2 linked regions of the Drosophila melanogaster genome follow. The protein of the gene in region 2 purifies or fractionates together with the protein of the main gene of each other region. This does not show direct contact. Each region holds a gene or a part of one and is shown on either strand. Other genes may lie near its edges.

Region 1 (5,935 bases), on a different chromosome or scaffold from region 2:
TATCTTTTTTGTATCATGGCGACTTCAGCGTGCCGAACTTCACTATTTTCTTAACAAAATTAATAGTTCAGAAATTTAGCTTAAACCATAGAATTATATGGGGATTCAATCAACTCTAATCTGGATAACCGTCCCATTGTTACTTATGAGGTTCAAATTTAATATATATTTATTTGTCTTTATCTTGCACTTAATGGGAACCAACATCAGGCTTACATATTATGCACTCACCCTGTCGTTGTAACTGTGTTGAAGGCCTTTCCACGTTGGTTAACGACGTACTGTAGGAGATTATATGTATAAAGTTTAACTGCCTTAGAAGCCGTTTTCATCCTTGCCGAGATAACGAGAAGCCTCGCCTACTGCTCGCCATTCCTTCTCATACTCCTAACTTGGAGCAGGCTGAGATCCTGCTGTTGCAATGATATTTTTTCCCCCACACGCAGGAACGCTCAGAACGGGTGCAACTGACTTTAGGTCTCGTTACGAAGTCTGCGTTTTTGGTTTACATTTTGAAATGACCCTTACGCTAAATTAAAAGCATTATAAGCGATGCGTTAAGCGCCCGATCTGGGAACAGTGCCAAAATTTCAGATGTACTCACTGCCTCGAAACGTGGTAAAGATTAAGATCGCTCGAGCTTCGCTGTTATACGATTAAGGTATCCGAAAATCCTTCAGAACATGGGCATCAGCGTTATGGGCGTCATATCGTTTTCAGACAAATCACATGCACCATTGGCGATTTTCGTTTCCAATATCTGGGCGTTCATACGTACGAACAGACAGTTATACAAAAGACAAAAGGGGTGCGTATACATCGCAGCAAATTTTTGACACATACCCCTCACTTCATGACTTATGTAAAAAGACCAAAATAATCACAAACCAGGTATTCATTTTGGATCAAACCAGACAAACGTGGTTATGAAAACGGTTATGAAAATAATGTAACCATATTAAAATTTATATATATATATATAAATATATATATCCACTACTATATATATATATATATATATATATTTAAATATATACATTTGTATTTATATATTTATTCAAAATAAACTAATACATCGTTTACTTACACTTTACTATTTCTACTGTTATGTTATAATACTGAAAAACTTGAACTTGAAATGAAAATCGACTGCTTGTTAAATATAAAATTATTAACAATTCCGAAAGACTAAGTTTCAATACAAAGCTAACAACAAGGTAGGAATCTAGCTTTGGCAGTGATAATAATTAAATAATAATATTAAAGCAAGAATTCCCGTTACTCAACTTAAAGAAAAAAATCAACACATAGTTAGTGGTCGTGGAAACATCGTCTGCGTCTATATCTATAGAATCAGCATGCTTTAAGTTCTAGTTCTTATAGTTCCTGAAAGCGAGACGTTCTTACAGACAGACGGATTGGTTGATTTAAAGATTGACACTTATGCATTCTCTAAATCCCGGTGCTTGATGTTGCAATGTGAAGACAAGGGTGATGTATCTGTCAACTAGTAGTAGTGGAGCTAGTGTATAAGAAGCAAAAGTGGCAAGAATACCCCTGTGCTAAATTAAATTGGAAGCTTGACATATCGCAAGACGGCCACGCTGGCCTTGCTCTATCTTATGTTGGCGTTGGTATTTTAAGATATCTCGGTGGTACGTGTAAGTTGAATATTTTTACGAAATTCAATTTAAAAAATTTTTTTAGGATGTGCAGTTATAGTGGCTTGATTTTATTAAGATTACCAGAAGAATTAACTAAACAATCTTTAAAATAAAACACACCCGCCCAGTGTGATAAAGTCACACAAATCAAAAATTTGTACATACATCACTGTGTGTCTGTATGCGTCCAGATACTTACGAATTTTTTTTACCTTTTAGATCTATATTAGTTCTATTAGTTCTATATTTCAAACATGAAAGCTCGAATCAGACATTTCAATTCTATAAACATGTTAATTTTAATGTGTGATGAGGGTGCATGTGTATTTCGCGTTCGTGTGTGACAATCAGTTTGATATTTTAGGTTAGGTTTCTGTGTTGCTTTTATATTATATTATTTTACTTTTACTATCCATTCTGTAAAGCTCTGGTAAGTTTTTTTTTATCACTAGTTCTTAACTAAGCTTTAAAATAAATCCTTTGTTGTACTGTTTGCTTTGAAAAAGACTTGAAGCTGTTTGCTTTATTTATAGAACTTGAACTGTTTGAAAAATAAACAATTGTGCACAGAATCATAAAGCCATTAGGAGTTTAACAAAAACACTGAAAATTTGATTTCATTGCCTTTCTTACAAATAAATCAACCAAAAACTTTTTTGAACTTATTGTCAGCATAACATTAAACAAGAGGCAAATAAAAATGACAGATTCAATGAAATTTGGCCCGGAATGGTTGCGCAATATGTCAGCCGAGCCTTCGGGCTCTCCCAGTACCTACAACGTTGGTAATGCAGCTCAAAACAATTCGATTGGAGGGCACAACCTGGGAAACAACACGGCGGCATCCGCTTCCCGTAATCTATTTCCAGAATACCGGTACGGACGCGAGGAAATGCTGTCCTTGTTCGATCGGAACTGCCTACTGCCGCAGATCCTGCCATCGTTCAAAAAGCTCTTCGTGGAAAAGGTTCAGTGCCCTCTTGCACTGACACCGAGCTCCGAGGAGGACATCAACCAAAACTCACTTGGCAATAACGTATGTGAAGTAATTTGACATGAGTTTTAGAACATAATTTACTTTTCTTTGAAACTAGTCTCGTCCTGCCTGGTTGCAGCGCTCGCCCAGTGGATTTGGTAGTGCCTCCCGAGGCTCTGGACGTGGTGGAACCGTTGACCGGGGACGGATGCGCGGAAAATCGGCCTATCATCCGATATACCAACGCCCAAGCGGTCTATATGATGAAAGCTTATCGGTTATATCAAAGGTAATTGCAAATACGAACTAAATAAGGAAGTACGATTAGTTGTTGATTTTTTCTGCCAGGCCGAACGCACATGGAGCGACCGCAACGGAACTGGAGATTCTGCGGCAACCACCACCTCCACTAGTGGCTCTGGTGCTCTAGATTGGAATGGAACTCCAAGCTCAAGTCCTCGAAAAGATTATTCTAATAATCATCGCAACTTGGAAAACTGGCGACGAACACGTAACGAAGATGGATCCGGTGATGGTCCATCCTCCAGCGGTTCCATGAGCGGACCCGATATTGCTGGTTGGCGGAGCGGTGTCGTCGGTGGAAGTACAAACGCAGGTTTTGGTACCAATAGCCATCGGTGGGGTCAGTCAATTACCTTTATATTATTATTTTTCATTTTTACTCCTACACATATGAGCACAATAATACATGTACTGCTATCTCTATCATGTAAATTTGACTTTCCAAAACTTTCCCCAGCCTATATAGTTGGCTATTCATTCGATACCATTCATGCTACAATCTGTTGTAAAGTTTGTGTTTCTTTAAAACGTATTCTAAAAAACCTTTTCATAAATATATTAAAATTAAGATTAAATGTTTTAGTTAATGAAGTATTTTATATGAGAATATTTAAACAAAAATGCTAATAGACCAGCTGAAATCCCTATGGTAATTTCTATGCAATGCATCAGGCCTTGTTTTTATTTCATTCCTAAAGTACATCGCTGGTAGCTTTAGTACGTTTTCAAATAATGATCTTTTTTTTTCCAGAATAGACTTGATTTATCAAAATTGAAAAATAAAAAAACGCGAGCCCATTTTAAGTGTTATGTATCAAAGTCCAACTAACTAACAGTTCAAACTATTCAAATATGGGCTTGCCTATACATAACAACGTAACCAAATATACTTTTTACACTTTGATACGCTTTACGCTTTATTAAAATGTACTTCTTCACCCGGTAATCTTCTATCGAAGTTTGGATACTATAATAAATTGTATATATAATGTATTTATAAAATTTTTGTCGTGCTTAGTGATTAAGAGTTAGTGTTCTGCCGCTATGTGGATCAGGTGTACAATCACTGACATATTTGCTTTCCTACTTGTATATCTGAATATCGCTTGCATTTCTAGTATCTAACTAAATGGGTAACAGTTTTGCAATAGCTCGACTATAGCGGTTTTCTGTTTAGTAAGTTTGCTATATTTGCTAAGAAGATGAACCAAGTTAAAATTTAAATAGTCCAAGTTATTGAACAACAGTATAGAACTTAAAAAAAAATTTTTTTTAGGAAGATCTACAAGCTGGCGTGATGAAGATCCTAGCGTCGACAATGCAGCTAGTTTACAACGCTCAATTTCAACAGTTGCGACTTTAAGTACAGATCGGACTGGAAACAATAAAGGATCTGGAATCGGAGCTGCAGAGGGAGTAGGGAGCATATCGCACCCACGGTTGTCGAGTTCTAAAATATCTCAATTATGGACTGTTAATAATGCAGCCGGTGTTGATGCCGACGAAAATCTACCCGAATGGGCAATTGAAAATCCATCGAAATTGGGTGGCAGTTTTGATGCTAGTGGAGCCTTTCATGGAGATACTGATCTAAAACCTATCAAAAGTTCGCATAATACTTTAAAAACCAAAAGCTTAGACTCCTATGACGATGTAAAAAGACCGAAAAGTAAAGACCTGTCTGATCCAGATAGTGGAAACGATATAACTCCAGAAACCTCATTAACGAAAGATACCAATACAACAGCTGTGCAAGAAGAAGTTGAAAGCAGTTTATCTCCAATAAGCTCTACAACGACAAAGGAAGTGATCCATGGAGATATTTCAGATCGGATTAAAGAGGTCGCCGATGAAGTAGAAAAACTTATAATGGATGATGATCATAAAATCTCTTCGAATCAAAGCCAACATCAAAATCATGACGGGTTTACAGCTGCACTTCCAAGAATGGCAGACATTGAGATAAACGTAAAACCGAGTGTTACAGCAGTGCATCGGCAAGCACCTTCCACCATGCCTATACAAATTACCCCTACAATTACAGATGTCGCTCCACCATCCCATGCAGTTGTGTCGTTTTCGGATCATGAGACAATGCAACACCATAACATGCACCACCTGCCACAATTTCCAATGATTCCTACACCGCATATCATCACTCCAAATCTAAACGAATTGTGGTTTTACCGGGATCCGCAGGCAAATGTTCAGGGGCCATTTAGTGCCGTTGAGATGACGGAATGGTATCGCGCTGGCTACTTTAATGAGAACCTGTTTGTACGCCGGTACTCTGATAATAGGTTTAGACCGCTGGGAGAGCTTATAAAATTTTGTCATGGTAACATGCCATTTACGCACAGTCACCTACTTCCATCTCCGATAGAACTAGAGAACATTCCTGTTGGTCAAATACCAGCCCCTCTAACGGCGTCACTTTCAATTACACCCCATAAGCCATCACCGATTCCTATCGCACTTTCTGTTGTTGAACAGCAGTTGCAGCAACAAAGAGATGAGCAACTAAAGGCAAATGTTACAGCAACAGCTGAAGCTCTACGTGCTGCAATAAAAGGAAGTTTTGGCGGAAATAGCATTGGTAATACGTCTCATTTGCTTACAATGCGGTTTCAAATGCTACAGGATCAGTACATACAGCACCAGGAATACCAAATACTAGCTGAGCTATCCAAAAATGAATGCTTTCAACGTCTTTCGGCTGTCGAGCAAGAAACAGTTGTTCGTCGGAAAGTTCAATTGCTGGGTCTTCCTGAGTATTTGATCAGCTTAAACGGATTAAGCAATTCTTTGTCCGTACTGAACCCCGTTGCCGGTAGACAGTTGTACAGGGCAGTGGTTGAGCACGCCAAGAAGGATCAACAACATATTTTTGCAAACACCGAGCAGCAACGTTCAGTGGGAAATTTACTGGATGCTAATAATTTCATTCTAAATGCCCAAATAATGATTCAGCAATCGCAGCAAGAGGTAGGTC
Region 2 (9,935 bases):
GTCCATCTCCATGTCCACCAGGAATCGCGTCTGCTCGTCTAAATCTATTCCAATTAAATCATAAAAGGTACATACATACGCGTGTAACACCCAACTACTTAAAATTGAAAATTGAACCACAGAACGTAATGCACTTTCCAATCAAATGTACATGTTATTTTTCAACATTAGCTAGGTATTTGATACGCATGCATTCAAAATCGTCCACGCCAGGGTACGAATGTAAGGTGTAGACTTCTGGCGCAGTACTTTTTAAATGCTTGATATCCTTAAGAACTTATTCACGCCTGTTTGTCAATGTGAATCTAAAATATCATGGCGGGTTGTCAACGGATTTATTGTATTCGATTCTTAAGTTGCTATGTCTAAGGAAGAAATCAAACCACTTCGAACTGTGTAATAATAAAATATTCAGACAATTGTATGTGCTTCGTTGTGTCGCTGATTTCAAAGTAAGTAAATACGGGTAATGTATGACCTCGTGCTTTTAATTTATATATTAAAGAACTACAAAATGCATTACATTTAGTTCATTAGATAAACAGCTTCTTGTTCGGTTGCCCAACTACTTTTTATTCAACATTATAGTTGTATGTACAAAAAGTTAGAATAATATATTTTCGAATTTTACGTACTATCAAATATTTCGCATCAAAAGTTAAAGTGAGTCTTCTTAAATTTTCCCGCCCTGCTTGAAATTCACAGGGAATCGTATTTAGCAGTATTTGTCATTCGCAGCGATACGCCGACACACCCTACCGATTGCAATACACGTCAACTTGTATAAATAAATAAAAGCCAGCCAAATAACAAAATCGATCATTGTGAGACTGAGAAAATGGGTGAACAAGGCGAGGAGACGGGTCAGAAGCTTACGGAGCGCTCCACCAAGGAAGCCTACTTCGAAAGCCTCGCCGAGTGGGCCAAACAGGCGACGCTGGCCCAGAATGCGATGCTCATGTTTCCCTACTACCTGATGGCCAACTACCCGACCATGTTCCCGGGACTGCCTTCTTCCGCTGCTCTCCAAGCAGCCGCCATGGGACAACCCCAAGCACTGGTTCAGGGCTCGGCTGCTGCGCCGGGAGAACCAGCTGCAGAGCCTCGTTTGCCTGCGCCAAACTTCAGCGGCCTGCGGATATTGGGCGAGGCGGCCCAGCTGGATATCATACAGCGTCTTGGCGGCTACGAGTACGTTCTGTCACCTTTTTGGAAGCGCGCCGTGGCGGAGACCATCGATATGTTCATCCTTTTCATTGTGAAAATCATCATTACCTTCGGGGTGGTCAACCTGTTCAACATAGAGTTCGATGAGGACGTGATTCGGCGCACCCTGGACCAAGAAGACCTCTTTTCGAACTTCTTTGACACATCACTAGATTTTATTTCGATGTCCACCGACCTCCTGCTAATCGAAATGCTGACCAAGTTCATCGTTTGCTGCTACGAAGCGCTGTGGACATACCTATACCAAGGGGCTACGCCGGGCAAGTCGCTGATGAAGATACGCATATACTATGTGGAAGCAGTGATGCCGCTTCAGGGGCCGCCCCTTCCACAGTTCGTCCTCCAGCCGCAGAGGGAGCCGATGAGGGCTCTGCTTTATCCGCCACAGACTCCCTCGCTGATGCGCTCCTTCGCCCGCGCGCTGATCAAGAACCTGGGGATGACCCTGCTCTTCCCCATTTGCGTGTTGATGGTCTTCTTCAAGAACAATCGCACCGCCTACGACGTCCTAACCAAAACGATTGTGGTGGAGAGCAATTCCATTGCCGTGTTCCGCACCCAAGGGCAAGCGCAGCGCAATAATCGCTGAGGACGGCACTTAAACCAGCCAAAGTGTGTAGGAATGGCGCACTCCTATGCACTTCCTATGCACATATAAATAGACTTGTTAATGATAAATTTAATGTCGTTATGTACTGCTGTCGTGTGAAATAAAATAAAATATCACATGAATACCTCAGAATCTGCACGATAATCAAACATAACCAGTAATCCCAATGATCAGTAGAGCTTCCGATATTCCTGTAGAGCTACTCTTCACTGGTACTAGAAACTGAATGATAATGAAGTTCTGATACTGAAATGGTGTGCAGGCGGTGATGTTTCGTTTATTGGCTCAAAGCTTTAGTTTCGTTTATTGGCTCACTTCACATTGACGTTCTTCAGGGTTTGGGCCACCACGTTGCCCTTGCCAGGAACATGGAGAGCGGCGCCCTTGTAGCAGGCAACCAGTTCGCCGTTGGTCTTCAGATCCGGGGCGCACGACTCAAAGATCTTCTTCTTGGGGTTGAGCTGGGCGTCTGGCTGGCGCGGATAGCCCTCGCAGTGAACCAGGTCGCCGGGAACAGCTCCGGCGGGCGGACTGAGCACTTCCACTTTTTCCGGTGTAGATGCGCACATGACCATAGCCTCCGAGGTGACGCCGCGCATTTTGGCCGGCTTCAGGTTACACATGACCACTACCAGACGGTTCTGCATCTCTTCCAGGGGCACGAACTTCACCAGACCGGACACCACGGTGCGTGGAGCCGCCTCGCCGCAGTCGATCTTCTCCAGATACAAGCTGTCGGCGTCGGGATGGCGACCCACCTCCACAATCTTGCCCACGCGTAAATCCAGGCGACCGACGTCGACGGGAGCCTCCGGAGCGGCGGCGGGCTTCTCGGCGGCCGGTTTCTTCTCCTTGGACTTCTTTTCCTTGGGCTCCTTGGCCGGCTTAGGAGCCGGGGCAGCGGGTGCAGCGGTAGCAGGTCCAGCCTCTGCCGGCATAACTACTGGGGCCGCACTGGTGCAGAAACCCCGGGCTCCAGGCACCGGAATCTGTTTCTTGCCATTTCGCAGCTCCAGCTGCACCAGCTGGGCCAAAGCCGCCTCAACTTCCTTGGCCAGTGCAGCGTTCTCCTTGATCAGCTCCTGCTTCTGGCGCTCCACAAGTTGCTGCTGGATGCCGGAAATCTGGGGGGCAGTAGGTTATCGAGTGTTCGCAGGCGCTGGCAGGCGGAAATACTTGCCTCGGCTTCAATGGAGTTGATCAGCGCCTCGGCGCGCTCGTTGTTGCTTGCAATCTGCTGCAGATCGGCCATTGTTCTTTTGTTTCTCGCGAATTTTGAGCAATTCTGGCCGTAATTTTTACATGCGGATCCCACAGTCGTGGCAGCTCTACGCAGCATTGCAGTGCTTCTTCTTGCCACGCACAGTGGCGTCGCGCAGCGTTGGACAGGTAGTTCGTTGGCGGAGAAGCGAGAGTATTTTTACATCAGCCCTGCCAGGGTCACTCTAATCGGTGCAACGCAAAAACGGCTGGCAGTTTTGAGCGAAATTTGTTAAAAAATAAACAATAAAAAGTCGCGTGGGCATCGGCGTGCGGCAGATGGATTACGTGTATTGCGGCACCGACCCCATCGGGGCCTCCGAAGACATACTAAGTGGGTCAAGGGGTCGCTTTGGGGCCAACGCTCACCCACACGCACACACACACGCAAGCCAGCTAAAGCTTTCTCCTTTGTTTTCTGTTTACTTTTTGAAAAGGTGTTTATGACGCGGGATCTGCGCCGGGAAACGGGCACTTTTCGCCCAGCTTCAATGGATTCAACATCGGCACCACCGATCCGGAATATGTGGAGCTTGTGCCCGTGCTTGCCGACGGCGGGGAGCACTTCGGCGTTTCCAGCGTGGCGTTCGACGACTACGAAGAGCTGCTGTGGATGGGCAACCAGGGCGTGAGTTCCTCGTCCAGCCTGCCAGGCTTACTAATCCTGAATCTTCGCTCCTTCCCGCAGGGCCACGTCACATCGTACTACACAAACTCCATGCAGAAGTACACATCCTTTCAGGTCCACGCCACCGACATTGTGCGCGACATCTCCACCCTGGACTCCGGAGTGCTGGCGCTCACGCAGACCTCGCTGCGTCATCAGATCCGCAGGGGTCTGCCCAAGTTTACCTTCAAGTAAGCCACCGCGCTGGCACAAAGATTCCCCGAAAGTGAGGTTTCAATTTCTTGCAGATCGAACAACATGAAGGAGATGGTGAGCATGCTGCAGCTATCACCGCATCGTCTGGTCATGGCCGGACTGCAGGACGAGCTTATCGACTTCGACCTGCGCACGCTCAAGGAAACCCGCATAGAGCATGTGGGTGCCGGCGGATGCACGGTGCTACGCAAGAATTCACGTTATCTGTTTGCCGGCGACCAGCTGGGAACGGTAACGTTGCGCGACCTGAACAGCCTGAGTGTTCAGCACACAATCAAGACGCACACCAACATCCTTTCGGACTTCAGTGTCCAGGGAAATCTGCTAATCTCTTGCGGCTACAGCGGAAGGCAAAATAACCTGGCCATCGACCGCTTCCTAATGGTCTACGATCTGCGCATGCTGCGCCTGATCGCGCCCATTCAAGTGATGATTGATCCGCAGATGTTGAAGTTCCTGCCATCGCTGACATCCCAACTGGCCGTCGTGTCCAGCTACGGCCAGGTTCAGCTGGTGGACACTGTGGAGCTCAGCGAGCCGCGAGTATCCATGTACCAGATCAACACCAACGGCAGCCAGTGCCTCAGCTTCGACATTAGCTCCTCTTCACAGGCCATGGCATTTGGGGACCAGTCGGGCCACATCAACATGATTGCCGCTGTACAAACGCCTCAGCCGCAGTTCAATCTCTACTCGCGAAGCACAGAGTTTGCGGACGTGGTGCCACAGCTGCCGATGGTCTCCATTACGGACACCAACTTTCCGCTATCGTCGGTCATGCTACCGCACTTGACGACGGGCACACAATGGTTCTCAGATTGGCCGGAGGAACTGCTGCGCTACCGCTACCACAGGCCCAAGACCATTGATCCCGAAGTGCTGAGCAACATGAAAATGCAGGGACCGATTGGATACTCGCCAAACCCACGCACCGCCCGTCGTAATCAAATTCCGTACGTGATTGAGCAGGGCGGCGTGTGCAGTCCGAACGGAAATGGAACTGCGGCGGCGACCAAGGCGGAGAACGGTGTGAAAATCATTCCACGGCGGTATCGCAAAGTCGAGCTGAAGTACACGAAGCTGGGCACCCAGGACTTTGACTTTGACCAGCATAATCAAACATGTTTCGCGGGGCTGGAGGCAACGCTACCGAACTCCTACTGCAATGCTATGCTACAGATTTTGTATTTCACCGACGCGCTTCGCGTGAAGCTGCTGGAGCATTCGTGCATCAAGGAGTTTTGCCTGTCCTGCGAACTAGGGTTCCTCTTCAACATGCTGGATAAAAGTACCGGTTAGTTTGCTTGTGTAACTTAACTATCCTTAGTTTAAGTATTTATGTGTGCTCCTTTCAGCTTCTTCACCTTGCCAGGCCAGCAATTTCCTGCGATCTTTCCGCACTGTGCCAGAGGCCTCGGCACTGGGATTGATTCTCACCGACCGCTCATCGAACGTCAATCTAATATCGCTGATACAGGCAAGTAATACCATGGTTTCCTAAGCAGATATTTAATTTATGCACACTCTCAGAACTGGAACCGATTCATTTTGCATCAAATGCATTACGAAATATTCGATTCTAGCAAGAACGCATCCACCTACAGCGGATCTGTGCAAACATCAACGAACGGTAACCACAGCCGAGTTTATCCTTTACAAATAAGTGAAACTTCGATTTATTTTGCAGCGGAAAACGCGGGCTCTTCAGAAACAAGTGGCTCCTCGGACCTTTACGATTCCATAAGTGGTGGGCAGGTGAATTAATGGTTTAACTAACACTCTAATCATATGTACGTATATGAACAGATGAGAACTCCAAGGAGGACGATCGGGAACGCAGTAAGATCAACGCAGAAACTGACATCAGTAAGATCTTTGGGACCAAGCAAATCTGTATAAACCGCTGCATCAAATGCCAAGAAGAGAAGATAAAGGAAAGCATTCTACTTGCCTGCAATTTGTCGTATCCCAACCACATCAAAGATAGTGATCAGTATTTCAACTTTGGCACCATTTTGAAGCGATCTCTCAGCTCCGAGAAGAGTATTCAGGCCTTCTGCGAGAGATGTAAGAAGTTTTCGCCAACCAATCAGAGCGTGAAGGTCGGGAGCTAACTTTATAGTGAACCAAGCAAGAAGTTACATATGTAATGCATCTGAATTTCAGGTGACTTCGCTTCCGCAAATTCTGTCCATTAACTGTGGCCTCAACAACGAAAAAGACATTACCTTCCTGAAGCGCCAGCTCAATCGCTGCAGCGAAAAGACGACTGTTGATGCGGCCGCTTCCTTGAGCACAAGCAAGCCGTGTCGATATGGAGCCAACTGTTCGCGAAGTGACTGCCATTTCATGCATCCGGATCGGTGAGTTACGACGAATCGAAACTGAATCAGTCGTCTTATGCATATTGTTGTACCTACTGTGCAGAAAATCTCCATCGCACACAAGCCAACCGAATGCTGTCAACAATTCTCCCAATGGACGCCAAAAGTCCTGGTTTCCCCTTACATTTACTATGGGCATCAATGACCAAGGTGAGGTGCAGGTGCAAACTCAATCAGATGCAAGCAGTGGCAAATCGGAACAGGAGGAGGAAACGGAAAAGCCACCAACAAAGGGCTTGGACAACAATCGGATGTACGCGCTGCATGCCGTGGTGTGCCAAGTCGATGATGGTACCCAAAAGAACTTGGTATCGTTGATAAATGTGCAGCGGCCATACCACACCATGAAACTGGCTGAATCTGCAGATGACCCTCAGAGTCAATGGTATATTTTTAATGATTTTAGGTAAGTTAGATCTCTATTGTGAATGGCCTTCGATTAATATTGCTCATATATCGCTCAACAGCATATCGCCCGTTTCGCCACAAGAATCGGTATGGTTCACATTGGATTGGAAAGTTCCTTGCATACTCTTCTACAGACACGTAGAGGATGACTCTGAGTCTGCTAGTACTACTAGCTCGACCGTCACGGAAAGTGAAGAAACCATTCCATCAGAGAGCAGCAGCGGCTCGCCAACAAATCTATCCAACCCTTTTCTAGAGGTTAATAGTTTAATATAGCATTGAGTCTGCTGAATGCTAATCTGAATCTTAATCCTACCAGGAAATTGTGAGTCCTATGCTAGGCAACTTAAGTGCAGACGCCACGCTGCAGCCCCTGCAGTCAGATGAAATGCCGCAGTCGGGTGATCTGGTCGCAATGGATGCCGAGTTCGTTACCCTAAATCCAGAGGAAAATGAGATTCGCCCGGATGGCAAAACGGCGACCATTAAGCCATGCCACATGAGTGTGGCCCGGATTTCATGTATACGAGGGTAATTCATTAACTGAAACTTAAAAATATTCATCTCGATAAGCACGGGTATGAATTCTTTACAGACAAGGCCCGGCTGAAGGAGTTCCATTCATGGACGATTACATATCCACCCAGGAGAAGGTCGTGGACTACCTAACTCAGTTCTCGGGAATCAAGCCTGGCGACTTGGACGCTAACTTCAGCAAAAAGCGACTGACTGCCTTGAAGTACTCATACCAGAAATTAAAATACCTCGTTGACGTAGGAGTAATATTTGTCGGACATGGTCTGAAGAACGACTTTAGGTGGGATGCCCTGCTTTGTAAGGAACCAATAGACCACTAAACTTCCATGTGATTGCAGGGTCATAAACATCTATGTACCGTCGGAGCAGATAATAGATACGGTGCACCTGTTTCACATGCCACATCATCGCATGGTTTCCCTAAGATTTCTAGCCTGGCATTTCTTGGGTTTGTATAGGGGTTTTCTTCGATTTGGAATTGTATCTAATTGGGTTTTCCTAATGCCAAAGGTACTAAGATTCAGTCCGAGACGCACGACTCCATCGAAGATGCACGGACCACTCTGCAGCTCTACAAGCACTATTTGAAGCTGCAGGAGGAGAAGAAGTTTGCCAACGCTCTCAAGAATCTTTACGAACGCGGAAAGCAGCTGCAGTGGAAGGTTCCAGAGGACTGATTCGTCGCCAAACCCGATGCCAATTCGACGAAACTCATAATCAACGTTATCGTCAGTACAAACGCTACACCGATCTGAAAAAATCCCGGCTTCTCCCAATTTTATTATGTTTTAATGCGTTGCTATTTGCTACGAAGCTCCTGGTATTTCATGTTGTATTTGTCTATCTTTATAACAAAATCAAAACAAAGCATAAAAGTTGTATTTCTTATCAGTGATGCTTTATTGATCGTTGATGCGAATCTAAGTTGCTTATCAAATCCACAATCGGGCTAATAGGCAAAAGCGGGCAACAGATGTGTTCAGGGATCGTGCACGTCAATCGATTCAATTCCTTTGAAATTCTCATTCGCCCTCCCCTATCACCAGCGGCGTTTGTGAATTTTTGAGATGCTGTCGCCAATTTGATGAATAACCTGATGTTGGACTACTGCGCACCTACTTATAAATACCACGACGAGCAAGTCAAGCCAGTTAGTTGTTAGAGCTCACCATTCACTCAGGGAACATAGATGACAATGCATTTGCTTGGACTTCTCGTGCCGATCGCTTGCGCTGTTTTGTGCGTTGGTGAAAAATCCCTTTACCATGGTCTCGCCCAAACGGAGACTAATCGACGATTCCATTGCTCCCTCAGCTGCCGATCTCCAGCGGACATACGACGGACATGATGGGCCTCACGTTTTCGGAACACCCGGCAATCAAGTCTACATTCGGGGGCAGAACGATGGCGTATACAAGGTGCCAGGAGTAGGTGGTCAGTTCCATCACGCATCGTCGCCAGCAGATCACGTCTATACGGATGAGCAGGGGATCACGTATGTGCACAAAAAAGACGCTGGAGGACCAGGTGGCTAAGAATCATGGTTCGAGGCAGTGCATAAATCTTATTATGGATACTATTTTAAGGAACACATACGCTTAGAGGACCAGGTCTAGCTGCTGTACAGCCCGCCTACTCCACTGTGCAGCCTGCGGGACTTCGCAATCCCCAGTTTCATGTGGAGCGAAGTGGTCGCACTGTGGATGTTGGTTCTGGAGGATTTGTCGTCCAAAGGAGCAGACGTAGTCCTCAGTTCCATGTGGAGCGTCCTGGTCGCACTGTGGATGTGGGTTCCGGAGGATTTTTTGTCCAAAGGGGCAGGCGTAGTCCCCAGTTTCCTGTGGAGCGACCTTGGCAAAGGGCTTTGAAGGACTGATTGTTGAAAGGGACAGCCGCAGCATCAAAGATGGCCGCGTCCAGGGAGAAAACTTCGTGGCTCGTGACGATCAAGCAGGAATTTGGGATGATAGTGTGTCGGTGTGGAAGCGTCCGGATGGACGAACTGTCTCGGTGGGCAATGACGGAAGTGTTATTGTTTCTGGACATGGGCACACGCTGCAAGTGAGTACATTGTTTAATTTATCAAGTTTCGCTTATGAATATACTTATATATATTTTTTATTTGCAGTACTAATAAATAATGGGAAGCAGCCTTTTAATTTACAGAGATTAGGTAGCTAAAATTCCAATGATATTAAATGAACAAGATTCACAAAAACATTGAACAATTTTTCTTTTTGAACATGTGGAAATTCTAGAAAACAGCAATACAGCACATAATGAAAATTAAGTAATTGCGATAATCGCAACCATTTTTGAATAAGCAATGGACTGGCATGATTTAAATACATATACTTTTTAATATACTTTTTTTTAACAAAACATCATTTCCTTAATGTACGAGGTATTCCCAGTCTACGACTAGGTTGTGGTTTCTTCTTCTCAGCGGGCACTTCGGGAACGCAAAGATCCACTTTGGCTGGCTCCGCTGTTTGCTTATCCGCTGGACCTTTTGACCTTTTACTGGTACGACTCTCATGGGATGGCTGCTCCTCGGGTTTTTTAATGGCCACACTCCTTTTGGTTTTTGGCTCCACTTTTTTGTTTCGCCTTAATTTTAAAGTCG

The links. The genes of interacting proteins can lie anywhere in the genome.
Region 1: the proteins of PAN2 (region 2) and Gyf purify together in Drosophila melanogaster (affinity purification with western blotting, with the first as the bait; one study listed by BioGRID). This does not show direct contact.

The regions. Positions count from the first base shown.
Region 1 is NC_004353.4:862,696-868,630, reverse strand, and holds the start of Gyf (gigyf), read left to right. Parts: upstream 1-1,605; 5' UTR 1,606-1,655; exon of another isoform or gene 1,656-1,661; intron 1,662-2,336; 5' UTR 2,337-2,364; coding exon 2,365-2,700; intron 2,701-2,758; coding exon 2,759-2,929; intron 2,930-2,988; coding exon 2,989-3,283; intron 3,284-4,219; coding exon 4,220-5,935.
Region 2 is NT_033778.4:8,924,924-8,934,858, forward strand, and holds PAN2 (Poly(A)-binding protein-dependent poly(A) ribonuclease 2), read left to right. Parts: upstream 1-3,245; 5' UTR 3,246-3,376; coding exon 3,377-3,431; intron 3,432-3,534; coding exon 3,535-3,725; intron 3,726-3,785; coding exon 3,786-3,955; intron 3,956-4,012; coding exon 4,013-5,274; intron 5,275-5,335; coding exon 5,336-5,457; intron 5,458-5,510; coding exon 5,511-5,610; intron 5,611-5,667; coding exon 5,668-5,727; intron 5,728-5,786; coding exon 5,787-6,082; intron 6,083-6,146; coding exon 6,147-6,343; intron 6,344-6,407; coding exon 6,408-6,770; intron 6,771-6,831; coding exon 6,832-7,030; intron 7,031-7,091; coding exon 7,092-7,303; intron 7,304-7,367; coding exon 7,368-7,589; intron 7,590-7,647; coding exon 7,648-7,757; intron 7,758-7,819; coding exon 7,820-7,986; 3' UTR 7,987-8,180; downstream 8,181-9,935. Other genes in the region: CG8237 (uncharacterized protein), read left to right, coding at 839-1,816; AIMP1 (aaRS-interacting multifunctional protein 1), read right to left, coding at 2,149-2,961, 3,018-3,176; FANCI (fanconi anemia complementation group I), read right to left, coding at 9,694-9,935. UniProt on the Drosophila melanogaster protein: Catalytic subunit of the poly(A)-nuclease (PAN) deadenylation complex, one of two cytoplasmic mRNA deadenylases involved in general and miRNA-mediated mRNA turnover.